3 linked regions of the Macaca fascicularis genome follow. The protein of the gene in region 3 binds, or shares a complex with, the protein of the main gene of each other region. Links are inferred from orthologs where the notes say so. Each region holds a gene or a part of one and is shown on either strand. Other genes may lie near its edges.

Evidence for each region.
Region 1: the proteins of CASC3 (region 3) and EIF4A3 are in contact, whole or in part, in a crystal structure (PDB 2J0U), measured with the Homo sapiens proteins. The link is inferred for Macaca fascicularis from reciprocal best matches to the Homo sapiens genes CASC3 and EIF4A3. Residues at the interface, in NP_031385.2 of Homo sapiens: Arg217, Trp218, Glu219, His220, Asp221, Lys222, Phe223, Glu225; in NP_055555.1 of Homo sapiens: Thr178, Arg179, Lys198, Ile201, Tyr202, Tyr205, Arg206, Tyr207, Leu208, Pro209, Pro210, Thr212, Lys231, Phe232.
Region 2: CASC3 (region 3) and MAGOHB share a complex: the UniProt entries of both Homo sapiens proteins name them as parts of the mRNA splicing-dependent exon junction complex. The link is inferred for Macaca fascicularis from reciprocal best matches to the Homo sapiens genes CASC3 and MAGOHB.

Annotation. Positions count from the first base shown.
Region 1 is NC_088390.1:86,549,958-86,553,603, forward strand, and holds part of EIF4A3 (eukaryotic initiation factor 4A-III), read right to left. Parts: intron 3,458-3,646; coding exon 3,385-3,457; intron 1,094-3,384; coding exon 1,027-1,093; intron 624-1,026; coding exon 561-623; intron 1-560. UniProt on the Homo sapiens protein: ATP-dependent RNA helicase. Involved in pre-mRNA splicing as component of the spliceosome. Core component of the splicing-dependent multiprotein exon junction complex (EJC) deposited at splice junctions on mRNAs.
Region 2 is NC_088385.1:10,340,259-10,344,643, reverse strand, and holds the start of MAGOHB (protein mago nashi homolog 2), read right to left. Parts: upstream 2,901-4,385; 5' UTR 2,839-2,900; coding exon 2,745-2,838; intron 1-2,744. UniProt on the Homo sapiens protein: Required for pre-mRNA splicing as component of the spliceosome. Plays a redundant role with MAGOH in the exon junction complex and in the nonsense-mediated decay (NMD) pathway.
Region 3 is NC_088390.1:61,239,358-61,243,003, reverse strand, and holds part of CASC3 (protein CASC3), read right to left. Parts: intron 1,994-3,646; coding exon 1,835-1,993; intron 1,746-1,834; coding exon 1,594-1,745; intron 1,022-1,593; coding exon 845-1,021; intron 223-844; coding exon 1-222. UniProt on the Homo sapiens protein: Required for pre-mRNA splicing as component of the spliceosome. Core component of the splicing-dependent multiprotein exon junction complex (EJC) deposited at splice junctions on mRNAs.

The sequences.
Region 1 (3,646 bases), about 25 Mb from region 3:
TTTTAAAATATACATCTTTATATTATGTAAGTATAAAATGGGTACAATTTATTTTTTTGAGACGGAGTTTCACTCTTGTTGCCAGGCTGGAGTACAGTGGCGCAATCTCAGCTCACTGCAACCTCTGCCTCCCAGGTTCAAGTGATTCTCCTGCTCAGCCTCCCGAGTAGCTGGGATTATAGGCACCTGCCACCACGCCCAGCTAATTTTTTATATTTTTAGTAGAGACAGGGTTTTACCATGTTGACCAGGCTGGTCTCAAACTCCTGACCTCAGGTGATCCACCCACCTTGGCCTAATTTATTTTTATTAAAATTTTTTGCTGAAAAATCTACATTCCTAAGGCTGTAAAAAACTACTGAGAGCACACAAGCCACACCAAAAATGACTTAATACAAACCAGCAATTTATATAATGATTCATGGCAAAATGTTAATCAGGAAGAAAATTTTGAGGTATCAGAAAACAGGATTGGATTAAATAAATAAGTCAAGTGTTTCACAACTAAATCACAAAAGCAGTACTTGCAAATCGGACACCACTATCTTTAGCCATCTCACCTTCTGAATCTGCACAGCTAACTCTCTCGTGGGAGCCAAGATCAAAGCTTGAGTTTCACGAACCTGGTGAAATAATTTATCAGAAAATAGAGAATTCTCAGTATTATCAAGGTGGATTGTAGTAATTCACACTGAGATCTATATGAGAAATAGTATCTCATATTAATCATACTTCTCATCTCTTACAGAGGTTAGCAAATCTTAATGTCATTTAAATTGCAAATCCAGCAATAACTTAATGTGTCAGGATCCTTGTTTGCAGACAAGAACTTCCTCTAGTTAAATAAAGAATCATGACAGAATATTAGTGCAAATATTAGTGTACAATTAAGACTCTGTAAAAATTTGCTGAGTCAATACATACTAGAAAATTTTTAATTGTACTTTTTGAACACTGTAGTTACAGAAGAAAAAGCAGTTATTTCCTAGAATTACAGAACAGTCTGTTTTAAGAATGACAAATTACCTGAATATCCAAACACTGGAGGACTGAGATACTGAAGGTGGCTGTTTTGCCTGTGCCGGACTGAGACCTATTGAAGGAAATAAGAGCAGTGGGATTAGAGGGAGGACAGGCCATGTCACAGCTGCACTCCAAGGCCTGGGCTCCAGAGGCACTTATGTACCTTATTCCAAGAAGCCCCCGTACCCAATAACATCTTAACTGCAAGGAGGCGGGACTCGGGCCCAGTGTCACAGCTTGTTAAGTGTCCATGAGGAGAGTAGATATGGCTTCTGCAAGGGGGGCAATGGAGCCACAGACTCTGTCACTTCAAGAGGTGTTTCATAGGTGTCAGAAAAAGGAGGACTCCCCTTTATCTAAATACAACTCTTTTCCTTCTAGGATTTTGGACTAACTCTCTCCTCCAAAGAAATTTTTGTGTAAATGAGTTTTTTGAAATTAGGCAAACGAGGAATAAAGCTATTAAAAGAGGATTTGTGGTGCTAGGAGATAAGACTACATACAGGTTTTCATTCATAGTTCCTAGCTCACAGCTCCCATAGCCCTTGTTACAGTCTTACTAAATTGATGGGTTTGTTAGGCCTCAGGAAACAATCTCTCTGACCTGCTCTCCTTTCGCCTGCTCCACAGCGGGGCTCTAATCTTCCCTGCCTTTCAGATTTTAAGTCATAAAGACCCTCATTTCACGGCATGGTGGCTCAGGCCTGTATTCCCAACACTCGGGGACGCAGAGGCAGGACTGACTGAAGCCAGGAATTCGAGACCAGCCTGGGCAATACAGGAAGAGACTCCATTTCTAAACAAAACAAAAAGCCAACCAGGAATGGCAGCACATTCAGGCAGTCCCAGCTACTTGGGAGGCTGAGGTGGGACGATTCCTTAATCCTTGGAGTTAGAGGCTGCAGTGAGCTATGACCGCACCACTGCATTCCCCCCGGTGACAAAGTGAGGCCCCATATCTTAACACAAAAAATGTTTAGGCCGGGCACAGTGGCTCACGCCTGTAATCCCAAGGCTTTGGGAAGCCAAGGCAGGGAGACTGCCAGGAGTTTGAGAGCAGCCTGGGCAACACAAGGAAACCCTGTCTCTACAGAAAATAAAAAACGTAAATGATGATGTGTGCCTCTAGTCCCAGCTACCTGGGAGGCCGAGGTAGGAGAATCACTTGAGTCTGGGAGGTTGAGGCTGCTGTGAGCTGTAATCACACAACTGCACTCCAGCCTGGGAGACAGAGTAAGACCCTGTCTCAAAAAAAGTAAAAAATTTAAATTAAAAAAAAATTTTTTTAAAAGCATTATGGTATTATCCTAGAAAAGCTCCTGCCCTATTCCCTGGGCGGGGGAAAGAATGCTGACCTCATGGAATTTTCCATAGAAACCCAAGAGGACCAAGTTCGAAGAGCTTCTGGATGGCTGAACACAGACAGTGGAACACAAGGAGGTTCTGGGAGGCTGCACCCCCGCCCCCATATCTGTATCCTTTGTAGCACCCTTTATAATAAACCACTAAATGTGTTTCCCTGAGTTCTTTGAGCTGCTGTTCCAGCAAATTAATCCAACCTAAAGAGGGGATCATGGGAACCCCAACTCGAAGCTGCTTGGTCAGAAGTTCTAGACATCCAAACTTATAATTGATGCCTGAAAAGAGGGTAGTTGAGGGGACTGAGCCCTCAACCTGTGGGATATGGCCTGTCTCCAGGCAGATGGTATGAGCTGAACTGGAGGACACCCAGCTGGAAAACCCCCACACAAGTCGTCTTCTGTGCTGATGACTGTGGTGGTGGTGTGAGAGCAGAGGAAAAGCAGTCTGTTTTTCCGAAATTGTGTTATATACAACTCCACCTGCCAGCAAACCACCAAGCAAAGCTGGCTAAGAAAATGAAAGCCTTGGCCGGGCACAGTAACTCACGCCTGTAATCCCAGCACTTTAGGAGGCCAAGGAGGGTGGATCACCTGAGGTCGGGAGTTTGAGACTGGCCTGACCAACATGGTGAAACCCCATCTCTACTAAAAATACGAAAAGTAGCCAGGCATGGTGGCGGGCGCCTATAATCCCAGCTACTTGGGAGGGTGAGGCAGGAGAATCGCTTGAAACAGAGAGGCAAAGGTTGCAGTGAGCCGAGATGGTGCCACTGCGCTCCAGCCTGGGCGACAGAGCGAGACTCCATCTCAAAAAGAAAATGAAAGCTTTCTATAGTAGAGAACAGAAATTTAAAAATTATTAAACCCTGTGGCTAAAGTCAGGGCACGTGTTGGTACTGAGTGTGTAGAAGCTGAGGGAAACAGTCATCCCAGAGCATCTAACTGCACTGCGCTGCCCAAATTTGCATCCAGCCCCGCGCCGCACCCCAGGACAACTTACTGCGCGATGACATCTCTCCCTTTGATGATCTGCTTGATTGCTCGTTGCTGGATTGCTGATGGTTTTTCAAAACCTGCAAATAAAAACAAAAAAATAGCTCTCGCTACAATGACAGCACAGAAACCCTGTACTGTGAGCTCCTCAGGGGCAGACGTGGTTTGCTGTTTGAACCTGTCCTCCCGCCTAACCCAGTGTTCAACATAGCAAGCTCTCAAAACCCAGGGGCTCAATGAATCGGACTAAGTGGATTTCTAAACTAACA
Region 2 (4,385 bases), on a different chromosome or scaffold from region 3:
TCTATGCCTACAACATATAGATATAGGGTCATTTTTACAGCCTATTTTCTTAAGCTACATCATGAACTAGAAAGAGAATCTGCAAAAGGCACTAACATTCAAGTTTGTTATATGTATGTATTGGTGTTAAGTGCGTTACACAGAGAATTTAATCTAATCTGTAAAACAATCCTAAAAATCAGGTTTTATTCTCTCACCTATTCATAAGAGAGAAAACAAAGTTAAGTAACTTAAACATGGGAGATTCAGACCTAGATCTACTTTCTTTTAATACTCAGGCTTTCTCCACTACAAAAAAATGTTCCTTTTTTTCCTTCAAATGTATGCATACAATTATACTGTAGACATTTTAGAATTATGACTAAGAAGGATACAAACGATGCTTCTGGATCGAAGTTGATGAGTTTGTTAGCTAGTTTATATTTAATTTTAATCCATCATGATTTGTGTATTATCTGATGTATGCTTCCCCTTATGGCTAGTCAGTTGCCCAGACACAGCTATAAGGTGCAGCAGTTACTCTAAAATGATAGAAATGCCAGTCTTTGATGGCTTGGCGCCAGGCGTAGTGGCTCACGCCTGTAATCCCAGCACTTCGGGAGGCCGAGACAGGTGGACTACCTGAGGTTAGCAGTTCGAGACCAGTCTGGCCAACATGGAGAAACCCCATCTCTACTAAAAATATGAAAAAGTAGCCGGGCATGGTGGCACATGCCTCCAATCCCAGCTACTCGGGAGGCTGAGGCAGGAGAACCGCTTCAATCCAGGAGGCAGAGGTTGCAGTGAGCTGAGATGCACTGCAGCCTGGGTGACAGAGCAACACTCTGTCTCAAAAAAAAGAAAGAAAGAAAAAAAGAAAAGAAAAAGAAAAAGAAAGAAAGAAAGAAAGAAAGAAAGAAAGAAAGAAAGAAAGAAAGAAAGAAAGAAAGAAAGAAAGAAAGAAAGAAAGAAAGAAAGAAAGAAAGAGAGAGAGAGAGAGAGAGAGGAAGGAAGGAAGGAAGGAAGGAAGGAAGGAAGGAAGGAAGGAAGGAAGGAAGGAAGGAAGGAAGGAAGGAAGGAAGGAAGGAAGGAAGGAAGGAAGGAAGGAAGGCAGGCAGGCAGGCAGGCAGGCAGGCAGGCAGGCAGGCAGGTCTTCGGGAGACTCAATATTACCAATAGAAGAAGTATGTGTAACAGTGCAGTGGCAGATACATTGATTAGAACCACTGTTCTAGCATAAAACTTCCCTGATAATATTCAGGTGCTTAATTTATGTGACCTGCTAAAAGTAATAGAGACAAGCTTGACGGTGTTCACAGGCAGAGGAACTGAAAATAATACTACATAAAGAATAGATGAATTCAGGTAAATTTAGCTGAATTTATGGGGAGAGTAAGGTCGAATACAGTGATTAAGGTTTCTAAATAATTGCAGGGCTGGCACGGTGGCTCATGCGTGTAATCCCAGGACTTCGGGCGGCTGAGGCTGGTGAATCTCTTGACCTTAGGGGTTTGAGGACAGCCTGGGCAACATGCGGAAACCCATCTCTACAACAACAACAACAACAACAACAAAGGAGATGGGCGAGGTGGCACTGGCCTGTATTTCCAGCACCTCGGGAGGCTGAGGTGAGGGATCACTTGAGCTTGGGAGGCGGAGGTTGCAGTGAGCTGAGATCGTGCCACTGCACTCAGATCTGAGTGACAGAGTGAGACTCTGTTTCAAAGTAATAATTGCAGGACTGTAGTTCACCTGAGTTCTGCCTGAAATGCTTGATACTCTTCTCCTTTCCTAATATACGTTTCTCCTCTAATTTTTTATTCTTGCTCTCACAGAACATTGTCCAAAGCCTGCTTATTAATATACCTACTGCTTTATAGTTAAATGTCTGTGTCCCCACCAAGACAAATCTCTTTGAGTTAAATTTGTCTTACTCATTAGTGTACCTTCAAATTTTGTATTTGCTTGTTGCCCAGCAAAAAACGTGCATTTAAAAAAAACCAAAACATATATATCCAAATGAACTTTCTTGTTGCAGGTAGGCAGGACCAATGTAACATTCTCTAATAGCGCTGTCAGAAAACAAATTGTTGCACGCTACTGGGGTAGCAGTTTCACCTCGTCCTCTGCTCTCACTGCTCTGGAAGTCTGTTTTTTTCTCTCAAAGGCCAAGTCTCTCATTTCGAGACTCATCTCAAGAGTGTCTTCCTCTAGGAAGATTTTCCTGACTCCCTCCTGTGGAACTTTACATCTCCCCTCTTTTTTGGTACTCTTCATGCGTCCTGTGGTGAACAATTATACGTAGACACCTAAAACATATTATTATTCTCATTTGTTAACACGTCGGGCTCCTCCCCTTCAAAGAACACACACAGCCTGAATGAAGAAAAGGTACTGGTCACCACAAGATTTTATTCATCCATTGGACCACCCGCTGATGGGGGTGTTTTCAAAAAAGTGCTAGCATTTTTAATCCAGGTCAACAATCTACAGAGTCCCTTCTGGTGCAGTTACAGAATTCTGATTACTGTAAGTTCGACTTTTCAGTTTGCGACAGGATTAGCTTTAATTTATTGCAATTAGTTCTCTTTCATTTATAAAACCAACTTAGGCCTCCTCTATTCTTAAGCTCCTATTTCCTTCGAGGGAAGCAGTGGCCTCCGCCCCCTGTACCCTCCACACCACCCGGCCTCCCCTCGCCTCCTCCACGGCCTCTCGGTCTCGCTCCCCTTTCCCAGCACCGCGTGCCGTGGGCCTCTTCTCACCGTCCGGCCGAAATTCGAACTCCAGAAACTCGTGCCCAAACTTGCCCTTGTGCCCTACGTAGTAGCGCAGGTAGAAATCGCTAGCCATAGCCATTTTTGTCCCCGGGAAGCCCGCCGAAAACCCAGCCAACGTGTCCCCCGGCGCCTTGTAGTCACGTCATCGCGCGGAATAAGTGCGTCACCACAGGCGCTTCTCTTCCGCCTGCCTTGCAGCCCTGGACTAAAGCGTGAAAGCCGAGTCTCGCGTGAGAGGCCAGTTGGTGCTGAAGGGAGAGTCGCATGCCGTGACTTTCTCTTTACTAGGATTGGAGGCACATTATTTTCAAAATAAAGATCACATTATATTAGCAAATATTAGAAATGTGAGCATATGATAGTATTTTTTATCGACTTAGAGCTAAATTAGGTTTGCAAGTGGCTTTTACTTTTCTGGTCTCCCAGTCCTCGGGGCGTTTGTGAGGTGGGTGTGGCTCTATTCCCCCTTTAACTGGGAGCTAAATAAAGATAAAGCTTAGAATAGAGATGGCAGACCGGGAATATAAACCATTTTTCTTACTTGATTTCGAACAGGGTGCTTTCCCCTTTGAATAACGATTGGTAGTTGCCCCGGACCTATAAGCCTATAATAATAGAGACAAAGTCAAAGGAATCCATCACAGCAAAGAACTTAAGAGATCTCATTTGATCTCTCAAGAATTCTGTGAGCTTGGCAATGTAGATTGCTGTATATGCCTTAGGCTGAAGAACAAACAGGCTTAGAGATAGTCACTAGCCCGAGGTTAGGTAGCTGTAAGTGTTGGGATTGAATCCCAGGTCTTCTCACCACCACTTTCTACTAAAAATCACTGACGGTAATTTCAGTGGGACAAAACTGGCTTAAAGTCTTAAAACACACACCCCCTACGCCTGAAAAACCCTGACTGTCACCGTGCTGTTTTTTAACAGCAGAACTTCTATGGTTCTTAATTCATTCAGTAAGGGTTAACTTTTAGTAGCCTGTGGAGTTTTGGCAATTTGACTTAAGATACAACAATGGTTTAGCCCATTACTGTTTCTCGCCAGATATAATTAAATTGGAGGAATGAAAGAATGCTCCATTGTGGCATAGTTTTTAAGGTAAGGGAAAGACTTTTACACAAAGTCTGCTTTTTAAATATTATTGATCACCCTTTTGTTATCAACACACAGAGTAATCCTCTCTGCTGGTTGACAACCTTCAGTGATTTTTGTAGAAAGTGGTGGTGAGAAGACCTGGGATTCAATCCCAACACTTACAGCTACCTAACCTCGGGCAAGTGACTCTCTAAGCCTGTTTATTCATCAGCCTAAGGCATATACAGCAATCTACATTGCCAAGCTCACAGAATTCTTGAGAGATCAAATGAGATATGTAAAATAAGCTTTAAATTTTATAAAACGTTAGTTTTAACAAACATTTCCTATGTGACAGTTTGAAACTAGAAATAAAAAGGCATTTGCACTGGTAGTCTAGAAAAGAAAGCAAACTTGTAAGGCAAATATTGGCACAATGGATCAATTGCTATAATTAAGAATATATGTGCCATTCTGGCCAACATGGTGAAACCCCGTCTCTACTATAAATACCAAAAACTTAGCTGGGCGTGGTGGCGTGTGCCTGTA
Region 3 (3,646 bases):
CCATGCTGGCCCCCAGCTTCCATAGGCCTAAAACCAGCACGACCTTCCTTGAAGCCCCCAGATCGAGAATAATTCCTGGGTGCAGACATGCGGCCAGTACCTGCAGCATTTCTGTTAATAAATGTCCTTGGTGGTAGGGTACCCCCAAGACCCTGGTGGCGATGAGACTTGTTTAGCCGCTCACCATTCCAATTTGGATCTCTTTGTGGAGGACTCCCATATCTACAAAAAATGGAATGAAGAAACTGTTAAGAAATTAACAAAGGGAGGCTGGGCACGGTGGCTCAGGCCTGTAATCCCAGCACTTTGGGAGATCAAGAAAGACGGGCAGATCACTTGAGGCCAGGAGTTTGAGACCAGCCTGGCTAATACAGTGAAACCCCATTTCTACTAAAAATACAAAATTAGCTGATCGTGATGGTACATGCCTGTAATCCCAGCTACTGAGGAGGCTGAAGCAGGAGAATCACTCGAACGGGAGGTGGAGGTTGCAGTGAACCGAGAACATGCCACTGCACTCTTTATTTTGTCTCAAAATAAAGAAAGAAAGAAAGAAGGAAGGAGAGAAGAGGAAGAAAGAGAGAGAGAAAGAGAGAGACAGAAAGAAAGACAGACAGAGAGAGAGAGAAAGAAAAGCAAAGCAAGAGAGTTCTTTCTAAAATGTATCTATAGTCTATGGTCTATTTTTTTTTGGAGACAGGGTCTCACTATGTTCTCCAGACTAGTCCTGAACTTCTGGCCTCAAGCAATCATCCTGCCTCAGCCTCCCAAAGTGCTGGGATTCCAGGTGTAAGCCACTGTAAGCCACCATGCCTAGCCCAGTCTATGTTCTAAAATGCCTCACCGGGGTTTCCGGATTCTTCGGGGTTTGATGTCATCAGGATTGTGAGCTGAGCGAATGTCATAACCATAAAGAGCAATGAGCTCCTGTCGGGACTTTGGGGCCTGCTCATCTTCCCGGAACTTGTCATGCTCCCAGCGACCCTCATCCTTCCAAAGCTTTCGCTGACGCCCCTTGGGTCTGGATAAAATGAAGGAAAAGTCTTGGGTCAGCAGAATTCTCCAAGTAGAGATGTTCATGAACAAAACGGGTCAGGCAGGGGGACAATAGGAACTTCACGTAGTCTCATCATCCCAAAGAGATTATAAAAAACAGGCCTCCCCTAAGCAAGTGTGAATCACAGAACCTCAGAGCCTGCTGGGCTCAAATACAACAGACATAGAAATGAGAAAAGGACTTCATTTCATGCCATTCAGTACCTTTGAAAAACATCTCCTTTCTCCTAAAAAGCAGCCTATGCAAGTACTTCACTTCTCAGAGGCCTTACGCCTCAGATTAAGAAAAGAAAAAGTAGAATAATTAAGAGAAGATGAGTTCTGGAAACAGACTGCCCTAGGTCTGCATCTTAGCTGCCTCACCAAGAATTACCAAATATTCTAAGCCCACTTTCCTCATTTGTACAAGAAGGATAATCATAATACTTACCTTAAAATGCCTGTAATAAATGAAATACAGGCAAAGCATTTAGCAAAGTACCTGACCTACATGTCTAAAATACATGTTAGACAGCGGCAGCAGCAAGTGGCTTTTACCTGACTTCCTCCTCCTGAGTTTGCCCTCGAAGATCATGCTCAAAGAAGAGCCCTTTCCGAGGTATGTATGCTGGATTCTTTCGATCTTCATCATCATCCAAATGCTTAGGGCCCTTTTTACCCACTTTGTTCTCCACAGGTTCTGTGCTCTCCTAGAGGACAGATAAAGGGATCCTTACTCTTCCAGACTCAATAATCCCTATTCCAGCCTCTAAAATGGAGGACTGTGGAATGTACAGACCTGTCCGTCCCCACTTTGCCTCTCTCCAGTCACAGTGCCTTTGGTGTCAGGCTTTTCTTCTCCCTTCTCTTCTTTTGTTGAAGAATTAACAGCATCATTAGCTTCTGATTTCAGCTCCACTTTGGAGTTTTCCTCTTCACTGTATTCTCCTTCTTCACCCTGAAAAAAGTTTCCCTGTCAGTGATGCAGATAAGATCTGAACAGCATTTTAATTCCCACCTCGCCCCCCTCCCAGGATGGAGTCTCTGTCACTCAGGCTGGAATGCAGTGGTGTAATCTCGGCTCACTGCAACCTCTGCCTCCCAGGGTCAAGCAATTCTCCTGCCTCAGCCTCCACAGTAGCTGGGATTACAGGCACCCACCACCACGCCTGGCTAATTTTTGTATGTTTAGTGGAGACCGGGTTTCACCATGTTGGCCAGGCTGGTCTCAAACTCCTGACTTCACGATCCGCCTGCCTTGGCCTCCTAAAGTGCTGGGTTTACAGGAGTGAGCCACCGTGCCCGGCTGCATTTCAATTTTCTGCTCTTTAGGAATACATTTATTGATTAAATTTTTAGTACAACACAGAACTGAAAAGCAAACAAATCAATATTCTTACCCATATTTCCAGAAGATAAAGATCCTATTTTGGCTGGGCACGGTGGCTGATGCCTGTAATCCCAACACTTTGGGAGGCCGAGGCAGGCAGATCACCTGAGATCAGGAGTGCGAGACCAACCTGGTCAGCATGGCAAAACCCCACCTCTACTAGAAATACAAAAATAAGCCACACATGGTGGCAGGCACCTGTAATCCCAGCTAACTGGGAGGCTAAAGCAGGAAAATCATTTGAACCAGGGAGGCAGAGGTTGCAGTGAGCAGAGACTGCACCACTGCACTTCAGCCTGGGCAACAGAGTAAGGCTCTGTTGCAAAAAATAATAATAATAAAAAAAACGCTATTTTTAAAAATCACATTAAAAAAATACACACATACACACATATATATCCACATAGGTTTTCCTGGAACACATGCAAGAATGATTAAAAGTGGCAGGCTGGGTGCAGTGGCTTACACCTATAATCCCAGCACTTTGGGAGGCTGAGGCGGGAGGATCACTTGAGGTCAGGAGTTCGTGGCCAGCCTGGTCAACATGGCAAAACCCTGTCTCTACTAAAAATACAAAAATTAGCCGGGAGGCAGGAGGCTGCAGTGAGCCAAGATTGTGCCACTGCATTCCAGCCTGGGTGACAAGAGCAAAACACCGTCTCAAAAAAACAAAACAGGCCGGGCATGGTGGCTCACACCTGTAACCCCAGCACTTTGGGAGGCCGAGGTGGGCGGATCACAAGGTCAGGAGATCGAGACCACGGTGAAACCCCATCTCTACTAAAAATACAAAAAATTAGCCGGGCGCAGAGGCGGGTGCCTGTAGTCCCAGCTACTCAGGAGGCTGAGGCAGGAGAATGGTGAGAACCCGGGAGGCGGAGCTTGCAGTGAGCTGAGACGGTGCCACTGCACTCCAGCCTGGGCGACACAGCAAGACTCTGTCTCAAAAAAAAAAACAAACAAAAAACCAGCAGCAGCCTCTAACAGGCCCAGAGGATAAGAATGGAAGGGAGACTTACTATACAATACCTAACATATAAGAGGAGCTTAATCTTTTTGATAATTTCTATCTCCATGAATTATCTTTTTTGAGACAAGGTCTTGCTCTGTTGCCCAGGAGTGCAGTGGCACAATCATGGCTTACTGCAATCTCAATCTCCTGGGCTCAAGTGATGTTCCCACCTCAGCCTCCGAAGTAGCTGCGACTACAGGCACATGCCA